Canis lupus familiaris: one gene and its partner. The protein of the gene in region 2 interacts with the protein of the main gene of each other region in a pairwise test. Links are inferred from orthologs where the notes say so. Each region holds a gene or a part of one and is shown on either strand. Other genes may lie near its edges. The genes, in order: RITA1 and DCP1A.

Evidence for each region.
Region 1: the proteins of DCP1A (region 2) and RITA1 interact in binary tests that used the Homo sapiens proteins (3 or more experiments, as listed by UniProt). The two-hybrid records come from large-scale screens. The link is inferred for Canis lupus familiaris from reciprocal best matches to the Homo sapiens genes DCP1A and RITA1.

The regions. Positions count from the first base shown.
Region 1 is NC_049247.1:10,896,825-10,901,131, reverse strand, and holds the start of RITA1 (RBPJ-interacting and tubulin-associated protein 1), read right to left. Parts: upstream 3,073-4,307; 5' UTR 2,997-3,072; coding exon of another isoform or gene 2,823-2,996; exon of another isoform or gene 2,788-2,822; intron 2,614-2,787; exon of another isoform or gene 2,436-2,613; intron 2,261-2,435; exon of another isoform or gene 2,238-2,260; 5' UTR 2,117-2,237; intron 1,733-2,116; 5' UTR 1,678-1,732; coding exon 1,367-1,677; intron 1-1,366. Other genes in the region: ATP-dependent RNA helicase DDX54, read left to right, coding at 2,823-2,996. UniProt on the Homo sapiens protein: Tubulin-binding protein that acts as a negative regulator of Notch signaling pathway.
Region 2 is NC_049241.1:36,886,933-36,891,374, reverse strand, and holds the start of DCP1A (mRNA-decapping enzyme 1A), read right to left. Parts: upstream 2,817-4,442; 5' UTR 2,730-2,816; coding exon 2,595-2,729; intron 1-2,594. UniProt on the Homo sapiens protein: Necessary for the degradation of mRNAs, both in normal mRNA turnover and in nonsense-mediated mRNA decay. Removes the 7-methyl guanine cap structure from mRNA molecules, yielding a 5'-phosphorylated mRNA fragment and 7m-GDP.

The DNA of each region.
Region 1 (4,307 bases), on a different chromosome or scaffold from region 2:
AGTCTTTGAAAAGTCAACTTTTTGCCATTTGATTTAATTGCTCAAACCGTATCTGCTTGTTGCCTATGTCTGCCTGGAGCCAAAGGCTTTACTTAAGAGCATCTCTCTCTCTTACGCATCTTCTCATTTGACACCCTCTACTTGTCAGCATCCTGCATGAAATTCTACCCTCCAGGAGAACATGGAGTTGACGTCCCTTGTCCTGGACACCATACCTCTGTTAGTACACCCCACACTTACATCAGCCTTTTCAGCTACACTATAGTTGTCAGCGGTGCTAATGTTAACCTGGCTCTATGTCAGATGCATGGTGCTCAACCTGACCTAATACTGGAGTCTTGCTTTTACCTCATTGAATTTTATCTCCTAAGATAGGCAGCATTCCCATTTTCACTTCTCTCCACCAACCTATGTTCCTCCTGGCTCAGAATGGACCCTAAATATGATTGGCTAGTTGTTATGGATTGAACTATGTCCTCCCAAAATTCACCCTGAATTTTAGAGAGATAATTAGGCTTAAAGGAGGTCATAAAGGTAGGCTCTATACCAAGAAGAATCGAGTCCTTATAAGAAGAGGGGAGACACCAGGAATATACATGCTCACAGAGAAAAGGCCATGTGAGAACAGGCAAGAAGGTGGCTGTCTGTAAGCCAAAGAGAGGCTTCAGCCTGCCAGGACCTTAAACTTGGACTTTTAGGCTCCAGAACTATGAGATAATGGATTTCTGTCATTTAAGCTCCCCAGCTACTGTATTTTGTTATGATAGCTGTAAATGAATATTCCAGTCTTTTGTGTTTTTGTTCAAATCACTGATAACAATAAACAAGATAGAGCCCCGTGGCCCCCCACTACACACCTCCCTCCAGGCTGGTATCAACCTGAAATTATCCAAATAATCTGATTAATTTACAATCATAACTATTAGCCTAGCTTGTTCATGAAAAGGCCACAAAAACCATTTTTGAAATGACTTACTGAAACTGCGACCCACCCACTGCATCTATGTCATTTCGTGGATCAAGCACCTTAATATTCTTATGCAAATTTCTCTGTGATCTTGGACAAATCACTAGACCCCTCTGGACCTCACTTGTCTGGTCTTGTGGCATTTGGGAAATGGGTATTCAATCATCCTCACTATCACTTACTGAGAACTTCCTAGGTGTCAGATTACTGTGCCAAGCCCTGTACACACTCACTTCATTTACGCTCAGTAGTCCCACTAGGTCCCATTTTCCACATAAGGAAACTGCAGAGAAGTCAAGGTGCTGAGAGTCCAAGGTCACACAGCATGTAAACAGCAGGGCTCTAATAGGAACCCAGGTGGCCTCAGGAGTACAGGGGTGTATCTTCCCATCCTGTTACCTGTATTTGTTCTTCTTCCTTAGTGTGAGGGTCGGGGTGTTGCCCCTGGAGGAGGTGGTCTCACAGCTGCCATTGGCCCCTGAGGCCTGTGATGCCCCTGTGCCCACTCCACTGGTTCTGTTGGCCTTCTCCACCCAGGGTGGGTCGAAGTCTGGTGGTGTGGGCCGGGTACCCGCAGGGCTGCCAAACAATGTCTCATCCACATATGACGGCCTGGCCTTGACCCGGTAGCTGCCCTGGCAATGGTGCTGAAGGCGGAGGGTCTGCATCCCACTGACTGCCAGCTCCACGGGGGTCTTCATGCTGCACATGGTTCTGGGTAAGAGCAGGCATGTTTTGCCTGCGGGGTCTTGCCTCCAGGGCTCCCTGTGAAAGGGGGACAGGGTGACACCACCGTCACTGGCAGTGCCAGCAGAGGAAGGTGGCCCATCTCTTAAGTTCCCAACCCAAGGACAAAAGGGGAGCTGCCAACCCCAGGGGACATTGCAGAAATGGGTTCATCTGTCTCTCAGCTGTCACAACGATAAGGAGAGGGGTGCTACCAGCAAATATTTAATGAATAAATGTGCATTCCTAGTATACAGTGCTCCATGCAGAACGCTAGGGGGAGAAGAAGAGATGAGGCCTGTGTCTATTTTGGCACCAAGGAAAAAACTTAGCCTGGTGGGATGGGGGAGACAGGGCAGGTCCTTCTATCCCGTATATACATTTATGGAGTTAATACAATAACCAGCATTATCTCGTGCCTACCTTGCGCAAAAAGCTTTACAAGCATTATTTCATTTAATCCTCTTAACAGCTCTGCGAAGTAGCTTCGGTTATGTCTAATCTACAGATGACCAGACTGAGGCTTCAGACGCTGAAGTCACACCTGTAAGTCGCACCTAAATAAGGCTAAAACAGTAGAAGAGAAATGTGAACCTGACAGAGGGGTGCAGAGCTTATGCACGTAACCATTCCGCTCCTGGTGGATCACAGACACCCCTCCAACTACCCCATGTTCCCTGCTCCCCAAGTCAAGACCCCGGTTGAGGTCCGAGGCCCCTGCATCGTGAGTTCTTTCCCTTACCTGAGAATCTCGGCTCCAGGATGTGGGCTGCAGTCCCAGCGCCCCCTCCTCTGCAGGGGCCTCCAAGGTCCCAGAGGATCTGCAGCCCGGGCCCCGCAGCCCCAGCCCCGGGGAGCCGCACGGACCGACCCGCGGCGGCAGCCAGGCCCCAGCGACAACCAGCGAGGGGCGGGGCGGCCGGAACCATGAGCACCGGGGGGGGGCGCCCCTGGAGCTCCCGGAAGCCTCGAGGCGGCGCAGGCGGGCCGCAGAGACGCGGCGCCCCCCCGCCCGGCCGCGCCGTTGGTTCGTCCCGCAGGCCCCGCCCCCGCCCCTCGCCCCGCCCCCCTCCCCCTCGCAGCTCCCAGCTCGCGCTCGCCGCTCCCCGCTCCCCGCCCCGGGGCCCGCATGGCGGCCGGCGGGCGCGTGGCGGCCGGACCTCGGTCCCGCGCTCCCATGGCCCAGTGGAGGAAGAAGAAGGGGCTGCGGAGGCGCCGAGGCGCGGCCTCCCAGCCCCGCAGCAGCGACTCGGAGGACGGCGAGTTTGAGATCCAAGCGGACGATGACACCCGGGCCCAGAAGGTGGGAGCGGGCGCCCGGCCCCGCGCATCGCCCAGGGGCTGAGGGTGGGGACCCCGGCAGGGCCGCGGCAGGGCCCCGGCAGGACCCCGGCAGGACCCCGGCAGGGCCCCGGCAGGGCCGCCAGCCCCAGCACGTGTCTCCGCGCCCGCCCCGCCCCGCCCGGCTCCGATCCTGGAGCCCCTGCGTTCCAGCCGCCGGGCCTGCGGGCCTTCCGGGCCGGCCCTGGGTCGCGGCCCCTCATTGGCTGGCTCTTGCCGAGGGGGCGGGCCCAGCGCCCTTTGGTCCAATGAAAAGTGCGGGTGCCGAAGCCCTGACTTCAGGAGTTTGGGGGATTCTTGCCGGGTGCAACTAAGCGGAGGCCGGGCGCAGCGGCTCGAGACGGCCACGCCTCGAATCCCCTGGGTCCCTGGTGGCGAACTAAGCTCGCGTTTGCTGACCGCTTAACCATGTGCCGGGCTTCATGCTGAGAACTAGCCTCGTTTTAATCCTCATACCGCTCTGGGAGCTAAGTGCCACCATCCCTGTGTCCCAGAGGAGGACCCTAAGTCCTGGGAGCTAAGTGCCACCATCCCTGTGTCCCAGAGGAGGACCCTAAGTCCTGGGAGCTAAGTGCCACCATCCCTGTGTCCCAGAGGAGGACCCTAAGTCCTGGGAGCTAAGTGCCACCATCCCTGTGTCCCAGAGGAGGACCCTAGGGTTAGCACCTAGACCAGGACTTCGCAGCTTGTGAGCGAGAGAGCCAGGATGCCGACCTCTGGTTCCAGGGCCTGTGCTACTTCCACACGGGGTGGGGGTGGGGGGCGTGAGCACCAACGGGCAAATAGCTAAAGCCCATTATTTCCCGCAGCCCTGTGCCCAGCAGTGCCTGGCACAGAGTGGGGTTTGGGTATGTGGATGAAAGAGTGGTGTTTATTATTATTTTTTTAAGATTTTATTTATTCAGAGAGACACAGAGAGGCAGAGACGCAGGCAGAGGGAGAAGCAGGCTCCCTGCGGGGAGCCCGATGTGGGACTCGATCCCAGGACCCCGCCCTGAGCCGAAGGCAGATGCTCAATCACTGAGCCACCCAGGTGTCTCCCCCCCACTTTGTCTTAAGGGTAGGTGTTTAGATGAAAAGAGGGAACCACATTCCTCCTGGTCAAGGACCAGATGGAATCGTACCATGTTTACCCACCCAGTGGAGCCAGTGCTTGGCACATAGTAGGTGCTCCATAAAAGTGGAGAAATCGCCACAGCACAGGAGGGCAGAGGTAGTAGGTGCCAAAGAAGAGCCCACAGATATGGTTCAGACGGAGACCTTTGCCCTGGTG
Region 2 (4,442 bases):
AAAAAAAAGAAAACATTATATCCTAGGATACTTTGCTTCATCATTGGACGATTTGGGTATATTTTGATGAATAGCAAATTTTGTGGTTTGTTAAGAAATACTGTCGAACACAATTTTTTATTCTTAAACCTTTGTTGAAGAATCATGAAACCTGAAGCTATACTCTGCCTTAAGGTAATTATTATAAAATGTATAACTAAAACATTTTAAGAATAAGAAACATCTTGATTAAAAGTACAACTCATTATCTTTCATTCGCTGTGACAAGTGTATTTAGGTGTTAGACACAATGTTTTTAAAAAAACCCAAATAACTATATTAGTGGCAGTTCACAGCTTAGGTAGAAGTGATGTATTTTAATGCAATCCACAAACTGTTAGAAAACTTTAAATGCTAGTCATATCAAATTGGGTTTGTTGGGATAAAAACATTTAAAAAATATTTAACATGCTGAGAGTATTGCCCTATCATAAACATCATCATAAAAACTTTTCCTTCCTAAGGATTCACAGGCTTTTTCTTGCCTTTCAAATGTTAAATTATTAAAAAAGAAATTGGCAATCTACGGTCTCACAGTGAAAGAAAACTTGCTCAAACAACACTGTGCAAAGTTACAACTCACTGTAAAATAAAAATACAAAAGATTTTGGTTATGCTCTATGGGCCATTAACCAAACGAACAGCTTCTTTTTCAATCCAGATAGATATAATTTGTATTTCATATTTAAAGCAGGACTCTACAATCAGAATTCTACAATTCTGAAAGTCTGTGAAAAACTAGAAATATGAGTGTTAGTCATAAGTTCCTGCCCCCAAGTCTTCATCATTTGTCTGCAATTCACATCTCACAAATTTATATGCAGACCAAATAAAGAAAAATGATTCAGAACAATTCAAACTAAGGCAATGTCTAAAACAGCTACACTAAAAAAAAAAAAAAAAAAAAAAAAGCAAAAAAACTTAAAAATAAGAATAAAAATCTGTAAGTTTGCTCTTTGTGGTTTTCCATACCTCTTCTTCCAGGAGGGGAAAGAAAGAAGATAAGGTAAAAAAGCAAGAGGATCCTGAAAGCTCTCTTCATCTGAGTTAAGTGTTTATAAACGTCAAATGATTTTCATACAATTACTGTTTAAATATAGCCTATGAGTCTGTTTTATACCGTAAAGGGCACATTACGATAATCTTTCAGGGTTTTGTTAGTAGTATTTCATTTTTCACTGAAATGTGAATGTGACTTGTTTATGAAATCAATCCAACAGACGTTGACAGATCATCTGCCAAAAGTAAAGCCTAAAGGAGTAAAGCATGGAGGGTCAATTGCTAGAAAACTGGAAATTATGTTACTTTTATTTTTATTATTATTATTTTTTAAAATAGTTTTTTTTTTTTTTAAAGATTTTGTTCATTTATTCATGAGAGACATAGAGAGAGAGAGGCAGAGACACAGGCAGAGGGAGAAGCAGGCTCCATGCAGGGAGCTCGACGCGGGACTCGATCCCGGGTCACCAGGGTCACGCCCTGACCTGAAGGCGGCGCTAAACCGCTGAGCCACCCGGGCTGCCCCTATTATTATTATTTTTAAATATTTTATTTATTTATTCATGAGAGACAGAGGCAGAGGGAGAAGCAGGCTCCATGCAGGGAGCCCGACAGGGGACTCGATCCTGGGTCACCAGGGTCATGCCCTGGGCTGCAGGCAGATGCTCAACCGCTGAGCCACCCGGGCGTCCCGAAAACTGGAAATCACGTTACTTTTAAACGGGGCCCAACAAGTCAGACAACAGACCCAATGTAACTTTTCGGACCCCCTCCCGTGCAAAAAAAAAAAAAAAAAAAAAAAGGCAAGCAAAGCCAACAATTACTTAGTAGGAAGGGAGCATTCCGAGGCGACCTCACCAGCAGCACAGCTGGAACTAAAACGCATTTACAGGGTCTCTTTTCCAACGGCTTCAAAGAAATGCAATTAACACGGAAGCCCTTTTCCTTAAGTGCCTTGAAATCCCCCCCACCCAAAAAAAAAAAAAAAAAAAAACCTCTGTAAATAGTACAGTTGGATAAAAGCCGGACTTACCCTCACCACCTCTCTTCCAAGAATGGAAACTAATTGGATTCGAAGCTTTATAAACCCAGATGACCTGGGCGAAGGGGGCTCTTATTTACGTGCCCGTCGGGGGGCGGGGGGGGGGGGGAGGACGCGTGTTTACTTTACGGATCACGCACAGGTAGTTTACCCCGGAGCCCGCACGGCCTCAGGCAGCGCCTTTCAGGTGTGTCTCCGACCCCCCGGTTCCCATCCTCCAGCACGTCTGCAAGGGAGGCAGCCCGCCCAGGTCGGACCGGACCGGACCGGACCCCAGCCCTCCCTCCCTCCTCTCGGCTCTTCCTCCCAGACGTCCTGGGCCTGCCTCCCTCGCCCCTCTCCGCACAGCCCCTGGAGGCCCTGGCGGCCCTGACACCCTCCAGCGGCCGGTCGGTCCGTCCCCCGCCCCCCCAACCCCCGCCTCCCCGAATCGCCCCCAACTCCGGAGAGTCCGCGCGGCCCCTTTAAGAGGCGGCGGCCGGGCGGACGACCTCGGAGGCCGCGCCGCACTCACCCACTGGTTGGCCTTGGGGCAGAAGGTGTACAGAGCGACCTGGCCCGTGAGGTCTGCGATGCTGGTGATGTAGGGGTCGTGCTGCTTCAGGGCCGCCAAGCTCATCTCCTGCCCAGCTCTACTCAGCGACTCCATCTTGAATTCCGGAGCCGAGCCCCTCCGGCGGGGGGCGGAGTCGCGGACAGGAAGGTGCCATCGAAGCAAAGTTCCCCCGGCTGCGTCAGCACCTTCCACTTCCGCTTCTTCGCAGGGCCTCGCGGAGGGGCGGTAGGTACGACGGCTATTGTGCTCCGCTACGTCCACAACCCCCGGATGCCGGGTTCCGGGGTTCCTGACGCCCGAGGCTCTTGGGGTGGCGTTGGGGGCAGGCGAGGGCAGGCGAGGGGGAGGGGGCGCAGGTTCTCCCTGCCTTTGGGGTAAAATGTCCTGACAGCGGGATCGGAGGCTGTCCGGGAGCTTTCTCCAGCTCTGGCTGTGTGTGGGCTCCACCATCGTGGGGACAGCATGGAGAAGGGAGGGAGGGGGAGAGGCAGGACCCCAAAAGTCACCCCAGATCGTCCATCTCACTACATCACAGCCGTCAACAATTTGGTGGGGTTTTTTTTCTTTTAATATTTTATTTAAATTCAGTTTGCCAACATATAACACCCAGTGCTCACCCCATCAAGTGCCCTCCTTAGTGCCTGTCACCCAGTCACCCCAATCCCCTCCCCCTTCCCTTTCTACAACCCTTGGTTTGTTTCCCAGAGCCAGGCATCTTTCATGGTTTGTCTTCCTCTCTAAAGCAAGTGCTGGGTGGAGACATCCCTAGCTCAGAGTTGCACACTAGCCAGGGTAATCTGGTAGGGGAATCCAGAGACTCCTTCCTTCCCCCCAGAGTCCTTTCCTCTGTACCATGGCTACCTTCCTTCATCCTTGAGAATGAGTCTCAACTCCCCTCCAGCTACTTTCAATCCAATATTTAAAAATCTGTACCCTAGTTTAAAAAGATTATGCATTTTTTGCATAGGTAATACAAAATTCAGACACACCTGAAACTAAAAAAATTTTTTTTTAAAGTAGACTTTTCTTCTTTTATTTATTTATTTTTTTACTTTTCTTCTTTTAAAAATAATGATTTTATTAAGGTGTAGTTGTCATATAACACTATTAGTTTCAGGTGGACAGTATAGTGACTTGATATTTGCATACATTGCAAATGATGACAGCCACAGCCCAGCGAACATCTATCACCATGCATGGTTACAAGAATTTTTTTTCGTGGTAAGAATCTTCAAGATCTGGGTCTCCTAGCTGCTTTCAAATATGAATTACTATTATTAGCTGTAGTCATCAGGCTGTATGTTACATCCCCAGGACTTATTCTTTTTTTTTTTTTTTTTTTAAGATTTTTATTTATTCATGAGAGACACAGAGAGGGGCAGAGGCACAGGCAGAGGGAGAAGCAGGCTCCGTGCAGGGAGCCCGATGTGGGACTTGATCCTGGGACTCCAGGATCAGGCCTTGGGCTAAAGCCGGCGCTAAACCGCTGAGCCACCCGGGCTGCCCCCCAGGACTTATTCTTTAGTTTTTTTCTTACATAGGTTTACTAAAATCTAAGACATTTCATTTTTATTATTTTTAACTGAACAGGGCTAGACTAGAGAAAAGACACCAAGCTATTTTTTTTTTTAGATTTTATTTATTTATTCATGAGAGACACACAGAGAGAGGCAGAGACACAGGCAGAGGGAGAAGCAGGCTCCCCATGGGGAGCCTGATGTGGGACTCAATCCCAGGATCCCAGAATCAGGACCTGAGCCAAAGGCAGATGCTCAACCACTGAGCCACCCAGGTGCCCCAACACCA